4 linked regions of the Saccharomyces cerevisiae S288C genome follow. The gene in region 1 interacts genetically with each later gene. Each region holds a gene or a part of one and is shown on either strand. Other genes may lie near its edges.

Region 1 (6,623 bases):
ATTACAATAAATTCGATACGAACGTTCAAATAGTCAAGAATTTCATTCAAAGGGTTCAATGGTCCAAGTTTTACACTTTCAAAGTTAACCACGAATTGCTGAGTAAGTGTGTTTATATTAGCACATTAACACAAGAAGAGATTAATGAACTATCCACATGAGGTATTGTGCCACTTTCCTCCAGTTCCCAAATTCCTCTTGTAAAAAACTTTGCATATAAAATATACAGATGGAGCATATATAGATGGAGCATACATACATGTTTTTTTTTTTTTAAAAACATGGACTCGAACAGAATAAAAGAATTTATAATGATAGATAATGCATACTTCAATAAGAGAGAATACTTGTTTTTAAATGAGAATTGCTTTCATTAGCTCATTATGTTCAGATTATCAAAATGCAGTAGGGTAATAAACCTTTTTTTTTTTTTTTTTTTTTTTTGAAAAATTTTCCGATGAGCTTTTGAAAAAAAATGAAAAAGTGATTGGTATAGAGGCAGATATTGCATTGCTTAGTTCTTTCTTTTGACAGTGTTCTCTTCAGTACATAACTACAACGGTTAGAATACAACGAGGATATGTCCGACGAAATTGTTTGGCAAGTGATTAATCAAAGTTTCTGCTCTCATAGAATTAAGGCACCTAATGGTCAAAATTTTTGCAGAAATGAGTATAACGTCACTGGGTTGTGTACAAGGCAATCATGCCCACTTGCCAACTCCAAGTATGCAACAGTGAAGTGTGACAATGGGAAACTGTACTTGTATATGAAGACGCCTGAAAGAGCGCACACTCCTGCCAAGTTATGGGAAAGAATCAAACTATCCAAAAATTACACGAAGGCTTTACAACAGATCGACGAACACCTACTACATTGGAGCAAGTTTTTCCGTCATAAGTGTAAACAGAGATTTACAAAATTGACGCAGGTCATGATAACAGAGAGACGTTTAGCATTAAGGGAGGAGGAGAGACACTACGTTGGTGTAGCACCAAAGGTCAAAAGAAGAGAACAAAACAGGGAGAGAAAGGCATTGGTAGCTGCCAAGATTGAAAAAGCCATCGAAAAAGAATTGATGGACAGATTAAAGAGTGGTGCTTACGGTGATAAACCATTAAATGTTGACGAAAAGGTCTGGAAGAAGATAATGGGTCAAATGGAAGAGGAGAATTCTCAGGACGAGGAAGAAGACTGGGATGAAGAAGAGGAAAGTGATGATGGGGAAGTTGAATACGTTGCAGATGATGGCGAAGGTGAATACGTTGACGTGGATGACTTAGAAAAGTGGTTAGCTGACTCTGACAGAGAAGCTTCCAGCGCCAGTGAAAGCGAAAGCGACAGTGAAAGCGAGAGCGACAGCGATAGTGATGAAGAAAATAAGAATTCAGCCAAGAGACGTAAGAAGGGAACTAGTGCCAAAACTAAACGTCCTAAAGTCGAAATCGAATACGAGGAGGAACACGAAGTTCAAAATGCTGAGCAAGAAGTGGCACAATAAGCTCACGCACTATACTACGCAACATTACATGATTTCAGTTTCTATTATTGAATGAACAGGATTTTTCCACGTGGATTGGGCAGCGCACTGTACCATAATAACAACCAGTTATAAAATATTTCAATTCTTTTACATATATAAAAATACATAAAGACTATTATTTTTGTAAGATGGCCCATTCTGTAACACTTAAATTTCTTATCAAAAAAAAAAAAAATAATACCTTTAGTAGCTGTTGGGCTAATAACATTGCAAATTAGAAGCTTACTATTAGAAGCTTACTATTACGGGATTATTGAGGTAAAGGTTATTTGAAGCGTAAATCACTGAAATCTTCCTGATCACGTGATTGGCTTTTTTTGCCAGAAAACCCAAATCTGTTTAATGCCACTAAGTTGAAGAAACATATAATCAACAATTGTTGGCAATTCTAAGGGGAATAGTGCAACAAGAAGCCAGTAACGCCAAATAGAGGTTAGCGCCAAGCAATAATTTACTGGTAGGTTCTTTCATTCCCTGATTTTACCATGAATGACGACAGAGAAACCCCCCCAAAGAGGAAACCTGGGGAGGACGACACGCTTTTCGATATTGACTTCTTAGACGACACGACTTCTCATTCTGGATCCCGTTCAAAGGTCACCAACTCACATGCGAACGCGAATTATATACCACCAAGTCATGTACTTCCCGAAGAGACTATCGACTTAGACGCTGATGATGATAACATTGAAAATGATGTCCATGAAAATCTATTTATGAGCAATAACCATGACGACCAAACGTCTTGGAATGCCAATAGATTCGACTCAGATGCATATCAACCACAATCCCTACGAGCAGTCAAGCCTCCCGGTTTATTTGCTAGGTTTGGTAATGGTCTCAAAAATGCCTTTACGTTCAAACGGAAGAAAGGGCCCGAAAGTTTCGAAATGAATCATTACAATGCGGTGACTAATAACGAATTAGACGATAATTATCTAGACTCGAGGAATAAGTTCAACATTAAAATTCTTTTCAACCGGTACATTTTAAGAAAGAACGTTGGCGACGCAGAGGGCAATGGTGAACCAAGAGTCATCCACATCAACGATTCTCTCGCTAATTCCTCCTTCGGTTATAGTGACAACCATATATCTACCACCAAGTATAATTTTGCGACCTTTCTGCCTAAATTTTTGTTCCAAGAATTTTCCAAATACGCTAATCTGTTTTTTTTATGTACATCTGCCATTCAACAGGTGCCTCACGTCTCGCCAACTAATAGATACACCACAATTGGTACTTTATTAGTGGTTTTGATTGTTTCTGCCATGAAGGAATGTATCGAAGATATCAAGAGAGCTAATTCTGATAAAGAATTAAATAATTCGACAGCAGAAATATTTTCAGAAGCACATGATGACTTTGTTGAGAAACGATGGATTGATATTCGTGTAGGTGACATAATTAGAGTAAAATCAGAGGAACCTATTCCTGCTGATACCATAATTTTGTCATCTTCGGAACCGGAGGGTCTTTGCTACATTGAAACTGCCAACTTGGATGGTGAAACAAATTTGAAAATCAAACAGTCGAGAGTAGAAACTGCCAAATTTATAGACGTTAAAACTTTGAAGAACATGAACGGAAAAGTTGTTTCCGAACAGCCGAACTCTAGCTTGTATACTTATGAAGGTACAATGACTTTAAATGATCGTCAAATACCGTTATCTCCTGACCAAATGATTTTAAGAGGTGCAACTTTAAGAAATACTGCATGGATATTTGGTTTAGTTATCTTCACTGGTCATGAAACTAAGTTATTGCGTAATGCTACTGCAACCCCAATTAAAAGAACCGCGGTTGAGAAAATTATCAACAGACAGATTATTGCATTGTTCACAGTTTTAATCGTGCTAATTTTAATTTCTTCAATTGGTAATGTTATTATGTCTACTGCAGATGCCAAACATTTATCGTACCTTTACCTGGAGGGTACCAACAAGGCTGGCTTATTCTTCAAAGACTTTTTAACATTTTGGATTCTATTTTCGAATCTAGTTCCTATTTCTCTATTTGTCACCGTTGAATTAATCAAATATTATCAGGCTTTTATGATAGGTTCAGATCTAGATTTGTACTACGAAAAAACTGATACCCCAACTGTGGTTCGTACATCCTCTTTGGTTGAAGAACTTGGTCAAATAGAATATATATTCAGTGACAAGACAGGAACTTTAACAAGAAATATTATGGAATTTAAATCCTGCTCTATTGCAGGCCATTGCTATATTGATAAAATACCTGAAGATAAAACGGCCACTGTTGAAGATGGGATTGAAGTTGGTTATAGAAAATTTGACGATTTGAAGAAAAAGTTAAATGATCCCTCTGATGAGGATTCACCTATTATCAATGACTTCTTAACATTACTGGCTACCTGTCATACTGTCATTCCAGAATTTCAAAGCGATGGATCTATTAAATATCAAGCAGCCTCTCCAGATGAAGGTGCCCTCGTTCAAGGTGGTGCAGATTTAGGGTATAAGTTTATCATCCGTAAACCAAACTCTGTAACTGTTTTATTGGAGGAAACTGGCGAGGAAAAAGAGTATCAACTACTTAACATTTGTGAATTTAATTCCACCAGGAAGAGAATGAGCGCTATATTTAGATTTCCGGATGGTTCGATAAAGTTATTCTGTAAAGGTGCTGATACTGTCATTCTGGAAAGATTGGATGATGAAGCTAATCAATATGTAGAAGCTACAATGAGACATTTAGAAGATTATGCATCTGAGGGTTTGCGGACGTTGTGTTTGGCGATGAGAGATATCTCTGAAGGAGAATATGAAGAATGGAATAGCATTTATAATGAGGCTGCCACAACATTAGATAACAGAGCCGAGAAGCTAGACGAAGCCGCAAATCTAATCGAGAAAAATCTAATATTAATTGGTGCAACTGCTATTGAAGATAAGTTACAGGACGGTGTTCCAGAAACTATCCACACATTACAAGAAGCGGGTATTAAAATTTGGGTTTTAACTGGTGACAGACAGGAAACTGCTATTAACATTGGTATGAGTTGCCGTTTATTGAGTGAAGACATGAATTTGTTGATCATCAACGAGGAAACCAGAGATGATACTGAGAGAAATTTGTTAGAGAAGATTAACGCTCTAAACGAGCATCAATTGTCAACACATGATATGAATACCTTAGCGCTCGTCATTGATGGGAAGTCATTAGGCTTTGCCTTGGAACCAGAATTAGAAGATTATTTGCTAACTGTGGCGAAGCTTTGTAAAGCGGTTATATGTTGCCGTGTATCTCCACTACAGAAAGCCTTGGTTGTTAAAATGGTAAAAAGAAAGTCGTCTTCACTACTGCTAGCCATTGGCGATGGTGCCAACGATGTTAGTATGATACAGGCAGCTCATGTTGGTGTCGGTATTAGTGGTATGGAAGGTATGCAAGCGGCTCGTTCAGCTGATATAGCTGTTGGCCAATTTAAATTTTTAAAAAAACTATTACTTGTCCATGGCTCCTGGTCTTATCAAAGAATTTCTGTCGCAATTTTGTACTCTTTTTACAAGAATACAGCATTATACATGACGCAGTTTTGGTACGTTTTTGCCAATGCCTTTTCAGGTCAATCCATTATGGAATCATGGACAATGAGTTTCTACAACTTATTCTTCACTGTTTGGCCCCCTTTTGTCATTGGTGTATTTGATCAATTTGTTAGTAGTAGATTACTTGAGCGGTACCCACAATTGTACAAATTAGGACAGAAGGGTCAATTTTTCTCTGTTTACATCTTCTGGGGATGGATTATTAATGGCTTTTTCCATTCTGCAATAGTATTTATTGGCACCATATTGATTTACAGATATGGGTTTGCCTTAAATATGCACGGCGAACTAGCTGATCATTGGTCTTGGGGTGTAACTGTCTACACTACAAGTGTCATTATTGTTTTGGGAAAGGCTGCTTTGGTAACTAATCAATGGACGAAATTCACCTTAATTGCCATTCCTGGTTCCCTCTTATTTTGGTTAATATTCTTCCCAATTTATGCTTCTATATTTCCTCATGCTAACATCTCAAGAGAGTATTATGGTGTGGTTAAACACACGTATGGATCCGGTGTATTTTGGTTAACTTTGATCGTTTTACCAATTTTTGCACTGGTAAGAGATTTTCTATGGAAGTACTATAAAAGAATGTATGAACCAGAAACGTATCATGTTATTCAAGAAATGCAGAAATACAATATCAGCGACTCTAGGCCGCACGTTCAGCAATTTCAAAATGCCATCAGGAAGGTGAGGCAAGTGCAAAGAATGAAAAAACAAAGAGGATTTGCCTTTTCACAGGCTGAAGAGGGTGGGCAAGAAAAAATTGTCAGAATGTATGATACTACTCAAAAGAGAGGTAAGTACGGTGAATTACAAGATGCTTCGGCGAACCCCTTTAATGACAATAATGGACTGGGAAGTAACGACTTTGAAAGTGCAGAACCGTTCATTGAAAATCCATTTGCTGATGGTAATCAAAATTCAAATAGATTCAGTTCTTCGAGAGATGATATTTCATTTGATATATGAGGCACAGAAACAAAGAGCAGAAGACAAAAAATACAAAAATAAAAATAAGATAAAAAGAAAAGTCATTATTACCATTACTGAAATATGTACATTTACCATAAAATATATCCGTTATATAGAAGTTATAATATTAAGCCATCACTTTGTTATCGGTTTTTCATTCCTCCTGGGGTTGCTTCGACTGGGTACGTACCTTATGTCTTCTAGGCCTATGCAACACATGTACATCAATAATTTCACCTAAATTAATAACAGGCTTGTACATAAATTCTATTACAGGTTTTATATCCTCTTCCACCGGTGTATCCAGGGCATCAGCGTCCCCATTTTCTATTAACAAATTAGGTACCTGGGGCTGTTTTTCTATTTTCCTAGCTAATAACGTTTTGGGTCCTGCATTTAATGAGAAACCGTTTAATGTTAATGTTTGAAACATCAAATAGTGCCTTAAATTGGCGATCTTCTTAATGCTGTTGATGAATATGTCGAGCTCCCACTTATGTTTGTAGTGCAACTTGTATTTGAAT
Region 2 (3,430 bases), on another chromosome or scaffold:
GCAATCCTTAGCGGTTCGGCCATCTATAATTTTGAATAAAATTTTGCTTTGCCGTTGCAATTGTGATAACTTCCTTTGGAATTTGTTGCGATATTTAATGGCGCGATGATCTTGACCCATCCTATGTGCTTCCATTTTGGAAGGATAGGGATTCATGGGTGGGTACAAATGGCAGTCTGACAAGTCAATCAAATCATTTATTTTTTCCAAAATATTTTCGAATCAAAGGTTTGATTCAGTATTTTGGAGCCGCATTATACTTAGTATTTTAATTAAATTACATTACAATCATGAATGTCTAAAGAACTCTTACTTTACTCACCGAGTTCAGTTTTCAAGAGATCGAGACACTTCTTTAAGATATATAAATGGTTTGCTACTAGCATAGAGGGATCTTCACTAGGCAGCGATGACCACGTTACATAACACGGCCTATTGAACCTTTCAGATATTATTGTGGCCATGTGTCTAGCCATATCACGAATCCGGTCATCTTTAGTATCTAATAACGGTATCCCCACAACGTTGCTTCCGCCTGATTTGAGGTTAATATGTCTATCCCTCATTAAGGGAATGGCGTAGTAATAACATGATAAGGATGAAGATGAATTCAGCGAGGCCTCTTGTTTAAATCCCACTACCAGACTAATAGGTATTTTTTTAGAACGATCGTCTGCAGGTAGAGTAGCAATAACATCCAGCGTCGGCTGTAGAAATCCAGATTCTGATTCAATAGTTCGGCTAATCGTCTTTACTAACATCACAATCACTCGCGTCTAATCTCAACGGAAGCATCTTTTGCAATTTCCCGGTCCAAATCATTTGTAAAACATAAACAATATACCAGAACCTAATCTTTTAATGTACTTTCATGTCAACAGTAAATTTTCAATCCGGGCAACGAAAACTTTCGTGCAAATAATTTCCGGAGCTCCTAAACGAACTAAAATAAGCTCTTTCCCGTATGTACCTCATCTTGTTACAGCACGAAGAATAATCGCACCGACCATTGTGTCAATCACTTCACGGGACCAGTAACTCATTCCGTTCGCGTTTTACTAGCTGCAGCATTTTTGGGCCCTCTCACGTAAGTCATTATCTTTCGGAATTGTGAGGTGCACGGATGCGGACTTCTCCTTTTGCCATTGCGTTCGTTGATTATTCTTGTTTTCCAACCTTTGCCCATTTCCTGGACTACTCGACAAGTACCACGTTTATTGGGCTCTGGTTTATTTTTCAATAGTTCTGTCTTGAGCTGTGCAAGTATTACTATTCCAAGTAAAACGATATTTCGTCGATAAGTTCTTAAGTAAACTTTTCTTTGAGTTTGACTCTATCACATTGGCTTTTTTTTTACCCAATTTCTAGCTGTTGTACTAAAGAAAAAAACAAAGAAAGAAAACTATACATTGGATAGAAACTGGCTATTTGTTCACGCTTTCAACGAAATCACCAGTCTGAACATAACAGAAATATATCAAACTTTTCTCCTAGAAACAAATCGAAAAATTTATAAGATTTAGTCTCAAGAATTTCAAGTCATGTCTCAATACGCAAGCTCATCCTCATGGACTTCTTTCTTGAAGTCAATCGCTTCATTCAATGGTGATCTTTCTTCGTTATCGGCTCCTCCATTCATTTTATCTCCAATCTCATTGACCGAGTTTTCTCAGTACTGGGCTGAACATCCAGAGCTATTCTTGGAACCCTCTTTTATCAATGACGATAATTACAAAGAACACTGTTTAATTGACCCTGAAGTCGAGTCACCCGAATTGGCCCGTATGCTGGCCGTTACTAAATGGTTCATTTCCACTTTAAAATCTCAATACTGTTCTCGTAATGAATCCTTAGGTTCTGAGAAAAAACCTTTGAACCCATTTCTAGGTGAGTTGTTCGTTGGTAAATGGGAAAATAAAGAGCATCCTGAATTTGGAGAAACGGTTTTGTTAAGTGAGCAAGTTTCTCACCATCCACCCGTCACTGCTTTTTCCATCTTCAATGATAAGAACAAGGTTAAGCTGCAAGGCTACAACCAAATTAAAGCCAGTTTCACTAAATCCTTAATGCTGACTGTTAAACAATTTGGTCACACTATGTTGGATATTAAGGATGAGAGTTATTTGGTTACCCCACCTCCATTGCATATTGAAGGTATTCTTGTCGCTTCTCCCTTTGTTGAATTGGAAGGAAAATCATATATCCAATCTTCGACAGGTCTACTTTGTGTTATTGAATTTTCAGGTAGAGGCTACTTTTCTGGTAAAAAGAATTCATTCAAGGCAAGAATTTACAAAGACTCTAAAGATAGCAAGGACAAGGAAAAGGCATTATACACAATATCAGGCCAATGGTCTGGCTCTTCTAAAATAATCAAGGCAAATAAGAAAGAAGAATCACGATTATTTTACGATGCTGCTAGAATCCCTGCTGAACATCTGAATGTCAAGCCTTTGGAGGAGCAACACCCACTGGAAAGTAGAAAAGCCTGGTACGACGTGGCTGGTGCCATCAAATTAGGCGATTTTAACTTAATTGCCAAAACGAAAACTGAATTGGAAGAAACGCAAAGAGAATTGAGAAAAGAGGAAGAAGCTAAAGGCATTAGCTGGCAAAGAAGATGGTTCAAAGATTTTGACTACTCTGTCACGCCCGAAGAAGGCGCCCTTGTACCTGAAAAGGATGACACTTTCTTAAAACTCGCCTCTGCTCTAAATTTATCAACGAAGAATGCTCCAAGTGGTACTTTGGTGGGTGACAAAGAAGACAGGAAGGAGGATCTTTCATCCATTCATTGGAGATTCCAAAGAGAGTTGTGGGACGAAGAAAAGGAAATTGTTTTGTAAGGAGAACGATAAAGTAACAACTTGTTACCGTTGCACTAATATATTATCTATCTTTTCTTCTTTTTCCTTCCTTTTTCTCTTCATGTGACAGGAAAGGATATGAAATCATTAGAGGAACTAAGAAATCATTTTTACCATCCCCTAAATCTTATATTGTTTTGTTCTCTTTTCACTATAATGACTAGAATTTATTCTTTCGAACCACAAGAATATGCTATATTGCTGTTAAAGATGAAGCAGAAAAAACCTTTATCTATTTCTACTTCTTCCTTTAATTATTGATAGACAGATCGCTCATTTTTTTCTCATGATGTCATATCCTTTTTAATCATCATACGAAGGTTAAAATTTGAAGTTTACCAAGTTTTCATGCAAGTTTTGTTATTATTTACAACCTATTACTATATTTTATCTTCTCTGTTGATATCCTCACTTTTGTCTTTTTTATAACTCTCTAATTTTCTTATGTCAATTTTGTAGAACCACATAATCGATGGAGTATATGCACTTATACAACACTTTCTATACAAAGTTTATGGTATATCCCAAAATCTGTACGCTTATCGAACCATAGGCCTGTTTTA
Region 3 (2,843 bases), on another chromosome or scaffold:
CCTGATAATGTTAAAACATCTGTAAGCCAACTTTATAGAATCAGTGAAAAATCGGTGAGAAAGTTTTTAGAAATTGCTCTTTTCAAATATCGTAAGGCAAGACTGGAGCCAGGTACTGCTATTGGTGCTATTGGTGCTCAATCCATTGGTGAACCAGGTACACAAATGACATTGAAGACCTTTCATTTTGCAGGTGTGGCTTCCATGAATGTTACATTAGGTGTTCCTCGTATCAAAGAAATTATCAATGCTTCCAAGGTCATTTCTACACCTATTATAAATGCTGTATTAGTAAATGATAACGATGAAAGGGCTGCTAGGGTTGTTAAAGGTAGAGTGGAAAAGACACTGCTATCTGACGTAGCTTTCTATGTCCAAGATGTTTACAAAGACAACTTGTCTTTCATTCAAGTGCGTATTGATTTAGGTACGATTGATAAACTACAATTGGAGTTGACCATAGAAGATATCGCGGTTGCTATAACCAGGGCTTCTAAATTGAAAATACAAGCCTCTGATGTCAATATTATTGGTAAAGATCGAATTGCAATCAACGTATTCCCAGAAGGGTACAAAGCAAAATCGATATCTACATCTGCGAAAGAACCAAGTGAGAATGATGTTTTTTACCGAATGCAACAGTTACGTCGTGCGCTTCCTGATGTTGTTGTTAAAGGTTTACCTGATATTTCTCGTGCGGTTATTAATATTCGCGATGACGGCAAGAGGGAATTATTGGTTGAAGGTTACGGCCTGCGAGATGTGATGTGTACAGATGGTGTCATTGGTTCTAGAACTACAACTAACCATGTTTTAGAAGTCTTTTCCGTTTTGGGTATCGAAGCTGCAAGATATAGCATTATTAGAGAAATTAACTATACCATGAGTAATCACGGTATGAGTGTCGATCCACGTCATATCCAACTATTAGGTGATGTGATGACATATAAGGGTGAAGTGTTGGGTATTACAAGATTTGGTTTGAGTAAAATGAGGGACTCTGTTTTGCAGCTAGCCTCCTTCGAAAAGACAACTGACCATTTATTCGATGCGGCCTTTTATATGAAAAAGGACGCTGTTGAAGGTGTTTCTGAATGTATTATTTTGGGTCAAACGATGTCGATCGGTACCGGTTCCTTTAAAGTTGTTAAAGGTACTAATATATCTGAAAAGGATCTGGTTCCTAAGCGATGTCTATTTGAAAGTCTCTCAAATGAGGCAGCTTTAAAAGCGAACTAAAGTAGTCGTTTTTAAACTTTTTTATAGCATTTGTATTATTTTTCTACCACAGTCATTTAACGTATTTATACATATAAAACTACATGATAAAAACCATGAAACAAAATTTACTTATAAGAAATTTGCTTTCTTCACATTAGTAGAACCAGCGTATCGTTTTCAAAAACTCGCGTCAACGTTTTGAGACCAAAAATGCTAAATATTTTGGAATCTGGTATGCACTCACAAGCTGAGAGTGAAGACCTCATGCCATAAAAGAAAACATACACCGGTTATAAAGTTGGAAGATAAACAATTATGTCCTCTACACATAGTAATAATGTAGGACATCCCCAATCTTCTCCACAAGGTCCACTAACGGAACAACAAAGAGCACAACAGCAATATCAAATTTTTGAGAATTCATTACCAAAAGTAAGTCAATCTGTGTATCAGATGCTGTTGAACGAGATGGTTCCTCTAGCTATGGGCATTGAGAGGCAAATATCAGGCGATGTTATCAGTTCTGATAGCAATGTAACTTCCGAAAATGGTAACATCAACAATATGATAAAGAGACTGAAGATAGAGGAACATCATACAGTAGATATCATACGTTCTCATAACTTGATACATGAGCTGTATAAGGCGGATGAAGAGGAAAAAGAAAAGGTTTTAGCAAGACTGAGGAATATTGGGTTTCAAATCGGATTGAAGCTGTCAGAGTTATTGATATTTTCTAACAACCCAAATTTAAAATTCAAGGAAATGGACCTTCTATTAATAATGAAGTTCATTTGTAGGGATGTCTGGAAACAAATATTTGGTAAACAGATCGATAATTTAAAAACAAACCACAGAGGAACCTTTTACCTTCTTGATTATGACTATCGACCTATTCAATCATTTTCTTTGGAGGAAGATGCAAAAAACGAGGAGTTAAAAATGATAGAACCGTTTTTGGAGATACCTGTGGGAATTATTAGAGGCGTGTTGTCTTCCTTAGGTTATTCATCTGAAGAGGTCATTTGCTTGGCGTCTTTTATCGACAGGCCAACAGATAGGCCTAAAACAGCTTTTCCCAAGGGAGTTAGCTTCCATGTTCAAGTCACAATGCCGCAGTAAAGGTCCGACAGATTTTTGTTCTAAGAATGTACATCGACATATAGATAGATATAAGTGTGTATATAAAAGAACAGGTGACTCCGTTTTCAAAATAATACCCTTACTATAAAATCTTGACAATAATTTCTTTGATCAAGGTACATATAGTCTTTATGATAGTGAAGTGCTTTCGTGGACTCTTCTTAAAGCCCTAAAAGTCTATTGTCATTTCTTTTTTAGTAGGTACGTCATGGGAAGAATATTATTTGGTTGTGTATTTGTATCGTGATTCGCTGCTGTAAGATAGGACTCACTTCTGAGACCAAACTTTGACATGATATCCATGTTTTTTTGTAATATTTGTATCTCGTTATCCATCATTTCCTCAAATTTTGCCCTCCATACCTGTAATTTTTTTCTAATTTCTAGTTTCTGGTCATAGTCAACCTCTTCGTTCCAAGCATACCGGCATTCTTTGCACATTTGTTGAAACCTTTTCATATAATCATAAAGGTAATTTT
Region 4 (4,465 bases), on another chromosome or scaffold:
GGAAATTTTAATCCTAAGGTATTCAATAGTTTAGTGTTCAAAAATAACAGAAAGTTTACAGATATTGCTACCACATCCTTGAAAGGTAAAAATGCACTTTTAATAACAGTTTTCGACCCCAAAGATGTGAAAACTGTGATCAGTGGGGTGCTTGCTGCGAACCTGAATTTAACTCCTGAAAGGGTCCCAAATAACGATTTGCAATTGAAAGTTTCGTTACCACCACCAACTACAGAATCCCGGTTAAAAGTAGCTAAAGACTTAAAGAGAGTATTTGAAGAATATAAGCAGTCATCGCTAAAAGACTCATTAGGAACTATCAGAGGCAGTATTCTAAAGGAATTCAAAAGTTTCAAAAAGGATGATGCCGTTCGAAAAGCTGAGAGGGATTTGGAAAAACTGCATAAGGATTACGTGAACAAGCTTCATGACCAATTCCAGAAAGTTGAAAAAAGCATTGTAAAATGAGGAATTTCGTAACGTGTATAGAATCAAAAAATCATAAATCTTGTACATAAAAAGTTCATTTTATATAATAATAAATACCAAATTATTGATAAGTTTGTTGCTTCCTCTAAAGTAAACTAGCTGGCTTCTTTAGCTAAAGAGAACAGTGACTTTATTCTTTGCCATGTGGAATTTGTATAAGCTCCTACGATGAAACTCTTTACAAAATTCCAAGCCTTAGCATTGTTACGAATAGGGTAGTCTAATGGTTTTGGAATTTGAGTGGAGACAAAAGGCAAAGTATCAAAACAGACACTTTTGGCATTGCACAAACCCAAAAGACCTTCTTCACCACCAAATTTACCGTAACCTGAACCATTGATACCACCAAATGGTAATTGACAAACATAGAATGTAGCAAAATCATTAATGGCTACATTACCAGTTTGTAGGCTATTTGCGACGTAATTGCATTCCTTGATATCCGCACCAAACACAGAACCACCTAGACCAAATGGCGCAGAGTTGGCTAGTTGTACACAATGGTCAGTATTCTTAGCTTTCATCATGACTAAAATTGGGCCAAACACTTCGTTTTGTGCTATTTTCATTTCTGGAGTGACATCCACCAAAAGAGTTGGTTGGAAATAATGACCTTGTGGATACTTTGGATGTTTGAAGCGGGAACCACCTTGAAGTAAACGAGCTCCCTTTGCAACAGCATCTTTAACCAAAGCTTCTAGTTCATCGAATCTGTTGTCAGATATCATTGCCCCCATATCAACATTTTCTAAATGATCAATATCAGACCCTTGGCGTAGTGGATTTGCAGTCATACGGTCATTCAAAATCTTGACTAAATCATCATAATTTTCCTTACTGACAATAACCCTCTCAATACCAATACAATTTTGACCGGATGATTGGAAAGTACCCCTCATGATGATAGAAGATAAAGCATCTAAATTCTTAGCTGAGTCTAGGACAATAAACGCATCCTTACCACCAAGCTCCACAACTACGGGTGTCAATGATTTGGCAGCGCATTTTAGAATATAGTGCGCTACGGGCTGACTGCCAATAAAAGTGATATGTTTGAAACCAGGATGAGAGGTGAAATAATTTGCGGAATCATCATTTTCAGTTGGAGGTAAACAATAGCACAACTGAACCAAATCTGGATCTTCATCACAAGCTTCCAAACATTTGCGGATCAGCTCGACGAAAAATTCCGAAGACCAGACAACTTGTTCTGAACATTTTACTACAATGGCATTCCCTGTGAACAATGCTGCAATAATTGGACCCAATAAGTTATGGAATGGATAGTTCCAGGAAACGATAGAACTGATCACACCCAGTGGTTCATAACGGATTTCTGCACCTTTATACCACTTCATGAAAAAATTAGTGGGGCCCGGACGTCTCGAAGGTTGCAACGCTCTTTGGCCGTGCTTTATAGTCCATTGAATTTTTTCTAAAGTAACCAAGATTTCACCCATCGATGCGTCTAACATTGTCTTTCCTGAATCCCTGCACGCTACTCTCGCAATAAGATCTTGATTATTTAGAATATAATCATGCAAAGAAGCCAAAACTCTCAATCTTCTTGAGAAATCAGAATTGCCCCAAGTAGATTGAGCTTTGCCTGCCTTAGAAACCATTTCATCTATGTCAGCTTCCGTTTTCGATGGAAAAGAACCTAGATATTGACCTGTGGCGGGACAATGACATTGAATAAAGTTTGGTTCTTCAGGATTCCATATGTTAGTGGAAACAGACCTCTTGCCCTTCCAATTATTTTGAGCGGCCTCTGGTGCAGGAAGGGAGAATTTGACTGGCTTATAGGACGAGGAACACTTTGCTGGGGTGGAGATTATCTTGACCAAAACATACAGAGTGAAAATTGAGGCAACTAGCGTTGTAATGCCTATCAGTTTTTGGTTATCTTGAATAATTTGGGGTTGAGAACGCATTATTGCGTTTTGCTTCTCCAACCATAAGTTAAAGTAAGCTTGAACTGTGGAGTTCAAATGGTTAATCATGTCTGAATTCAGATAGACCTTGGACATGATGAATAAACGTTCGATAAAACAGAGGAGAAACTGAACGTGAACTGTGAAAAGAATTCTACTATTCTGCAAATACTATTATAATTATATAGTAATCCCCATCGGCGTTTAGTATTTTTCGTTAATAAAATAAAAATAGAGAGACCATACTTTCTCCTTTACAACCGATATACTAAATAACACATTTTTGATTATACTACTACTCGTTTAGCAGATAGAGAAAAAAAAAAAAAAAAAAAAAAGGCTGAATGGATAAAGCGAGAGTCGTAAAGACCGAATGCAATGTCAGTTTATACATTTTTATTCTATTGGTATTATATTATAAAAAGATATATGATTAGAAAACTAGAATGTAATGCAATATTACAAGGCATTGATATGGACTTCAGCAGAAGGCTTGATGACAGTCTCGATCAAAATTTTGACAACGTCATCCTTTTTCTTCTCTGCAATTTTCTTAATCTCAGCTAATTCACCTTGCACACCAGCCTCTGCTTTCTTTTCCAATTCACCAACACCACCGGCATTCTTTTGTTCAAACTCCTTCAATTCCTTGTCTTTTTGAATTTTGTATGAGTCGATTTCCTTGGCTGCATCAGTCTTGGCTTGCTTCAACTTATCTTGTCTGTACTTTCTAGCCTTTGATACTATTTCGTGGGCTTCCTTTTCAGCTTGTAGTAGGGTGGCAATTCCGTTTTTTTGGGACTAAAGAGAATATTACATAGTTCTGAGCAACAATGAAAAAACCAATACCTTTGTCACGAGGTACCAGTCCAACAAGAGAGCACAGTTTTAAAAAAGTTTTTCATGTTAGTAAGAACGCTTGTTAGAGACAGAAGTGTTGACACGTAATGTAATGGCACATACCATTCTGCTTTGTATACCTTGCACACTTTGGAGATTGCAGGAAAAAAAAAAATGTATTGTTTAAGGTGTGATTGCTTTATCTATCACGCTCCCTTTTAGAGATGAAATTTTTGATACCCAAGGCAGGGTAACAAATTGAAAAAAAAAAAAATTCGCGGTAATAATAGTGGATGTCAAAGTTCATATTCGATGAGATGAGCTGGAATAGGAGTCCAGTTAATAGGGAAGGGTGTGGCAATTTGCAAGTATGGCGGTGTTGTGTGGTGTATGCGGAATAAAAGAGTTCAAATACAAGTGTCCAAGATGTTTGGTGCAAACTTGCTCTTTGGAGTGTTCCAAGAAGCACAAGACAAGGGACAATTGCTCAGGTCAAACACATGATCCTAAGGAGTATATATCGAGTGAGGCGTTGAAACAGGCGGACGACGACAAGCACGAACGAAATGCTTATGTCCAGAGGGACTACAACTATCTGACGCAGTTGAAGCGAATGGTGCATGTACAAAAGATGGATGCTAGAATGAAGAACAAGCGGGTTCTGGGGCCTGTGGGCGGCCACAACTCTAATTTCAAGAAGAGAAGATACGATATAGATGAGGATGATCGTGATAGCACGGAGTGTCAGAGGATAATTAGGAGGGGGGTGAACTGTTTGATGCTACCCAAGGGGATGCAGCGATCATCGCAAAACAGGAGCAAGTGGGACAAAACGATGGACCTATTTGTATGGAGCGTGGAGTGGATTCTATGTCCTATGCAGGAAAAGGGTGAGAAAAAGGAGCTTTTCAAACATGTCAGCCACCGTATCAAAGAGACAGACTTTTTGGTGCAAGGGATGGGCAAGAACGTTTTCCAAAAATGCTGTGAATTCTATCGCTTGGCTGGAACAAGCTCTTGCATAGAGGGCGAAGACGGTTCGGAGACCAAAGAGGAAAGAACACAGATCCTACAGAAGAGTGGGCTCAAATTCTACACGAAAACGTTCCCTTACAACACCACGCATATAATGGATTCAAAAAAACTGGTGGAGTTGGCTATACATGAGAAATGCATCGGAGAATTGTTGAAGAACACCACAG

What was found.
Region 2: of DRS2 (region 1) and KES1, a mutation in one rescues a mutant of the other (synthetic rescue), as found in Saccharomyces cerevisiae (5 studies listed by BioGRID, with this or other methods).
Region 3: mutations in DRS2 (region 1) and TRS33 together harm fitness more than expected from each alone (negative genetic interaction), as found in Saccharomyces cerevisiae (3 studies listed by BioGRID, with this or other methods).
Region 4: mutations in DRS2 (region 1) and MSC7 together harm fitness more than expected from each alone (negative genetic interaction), as found in Saccharomyces cerevisiae (2 studies listed by BioGRID).

Annotation. Positions count from the first base shown.
Region 1 is NC_001133.9:95,103-101,725, reverse strand, and holds DRS2 (aminophospholipid-translocating P4-type ATPase DRS2), read left to right. Parts: upstream 1-2,028; coding exon 2,029-6,096; downstream 6,097-6,623. Other genes in the region: mitotic regulator LTE1, read left to right, coding at 1-161; ribosome biosynthesis protein MAK16, read left to right, coding at 581-1,501; DNA-binding protein SAW1, read right to left, coding at 6,254-6,623. UniProt on the Saccharomyces cerevisiae protein: Catalytic component of a P4-ATPase flippase complex which catalyzes the hydrolysis of ATP coupled to the transport of phosphatidylserine and small amounts of ethanolamine from the lumen to the cytosolic leaflet of the trans-Golgi network and ensures the maintenance of asymmetric distribution of phospholipids.
Region 2 is NC_001148.4:277,811-281,240, reverse strand, and holds KES1 (oxysterol-binding protein KES1), read left to right. Parts: upstream 1-1,541; coding exon 1,542-2,846; downstream 2,847-3,430. Other genes in the region: POC4 (Poc4p), read right to left, coding at 315-761. UniProt on the Saccharomyces cerevisiae protein: Lipid transport protein (LTP) involved in non-vesicular transfer of lipids between membranes.
Region 3 is NC_001147.6:538,159-541,001, reverse strand, and holds TRS33 (Trs33p), read left to right. Parts: upstream 1-1,536; coding exon 1,537-2,343; downstream 2,344-2,843. Other genes in the region: DNA-directed RNA polymerase III core subunit RPO31, read left to right, coding at 1-1,239; mitochondrial HMG-box protein CIM1, read right to left, coding at 2,548-2,843.
Region 4 is NC_001140.6:184,291-188,755, forward strand, and holds MSC7 (meiotic recombination directing protein), read right to left. Parts: upstream 2,520-4,465; coding exon 585-2,519; downstream 1-584. Other genes in the region: RRF1 (Rrf1p), read left to right, coding at 1-468; VMA10 (H(+)-transporting V1 sector ATPase subunit G), read right to left, coding at 2,883-3,224, 3,387-3,389; BCD1 (Bcd1p), read left to right, coding at 3,634-4,465.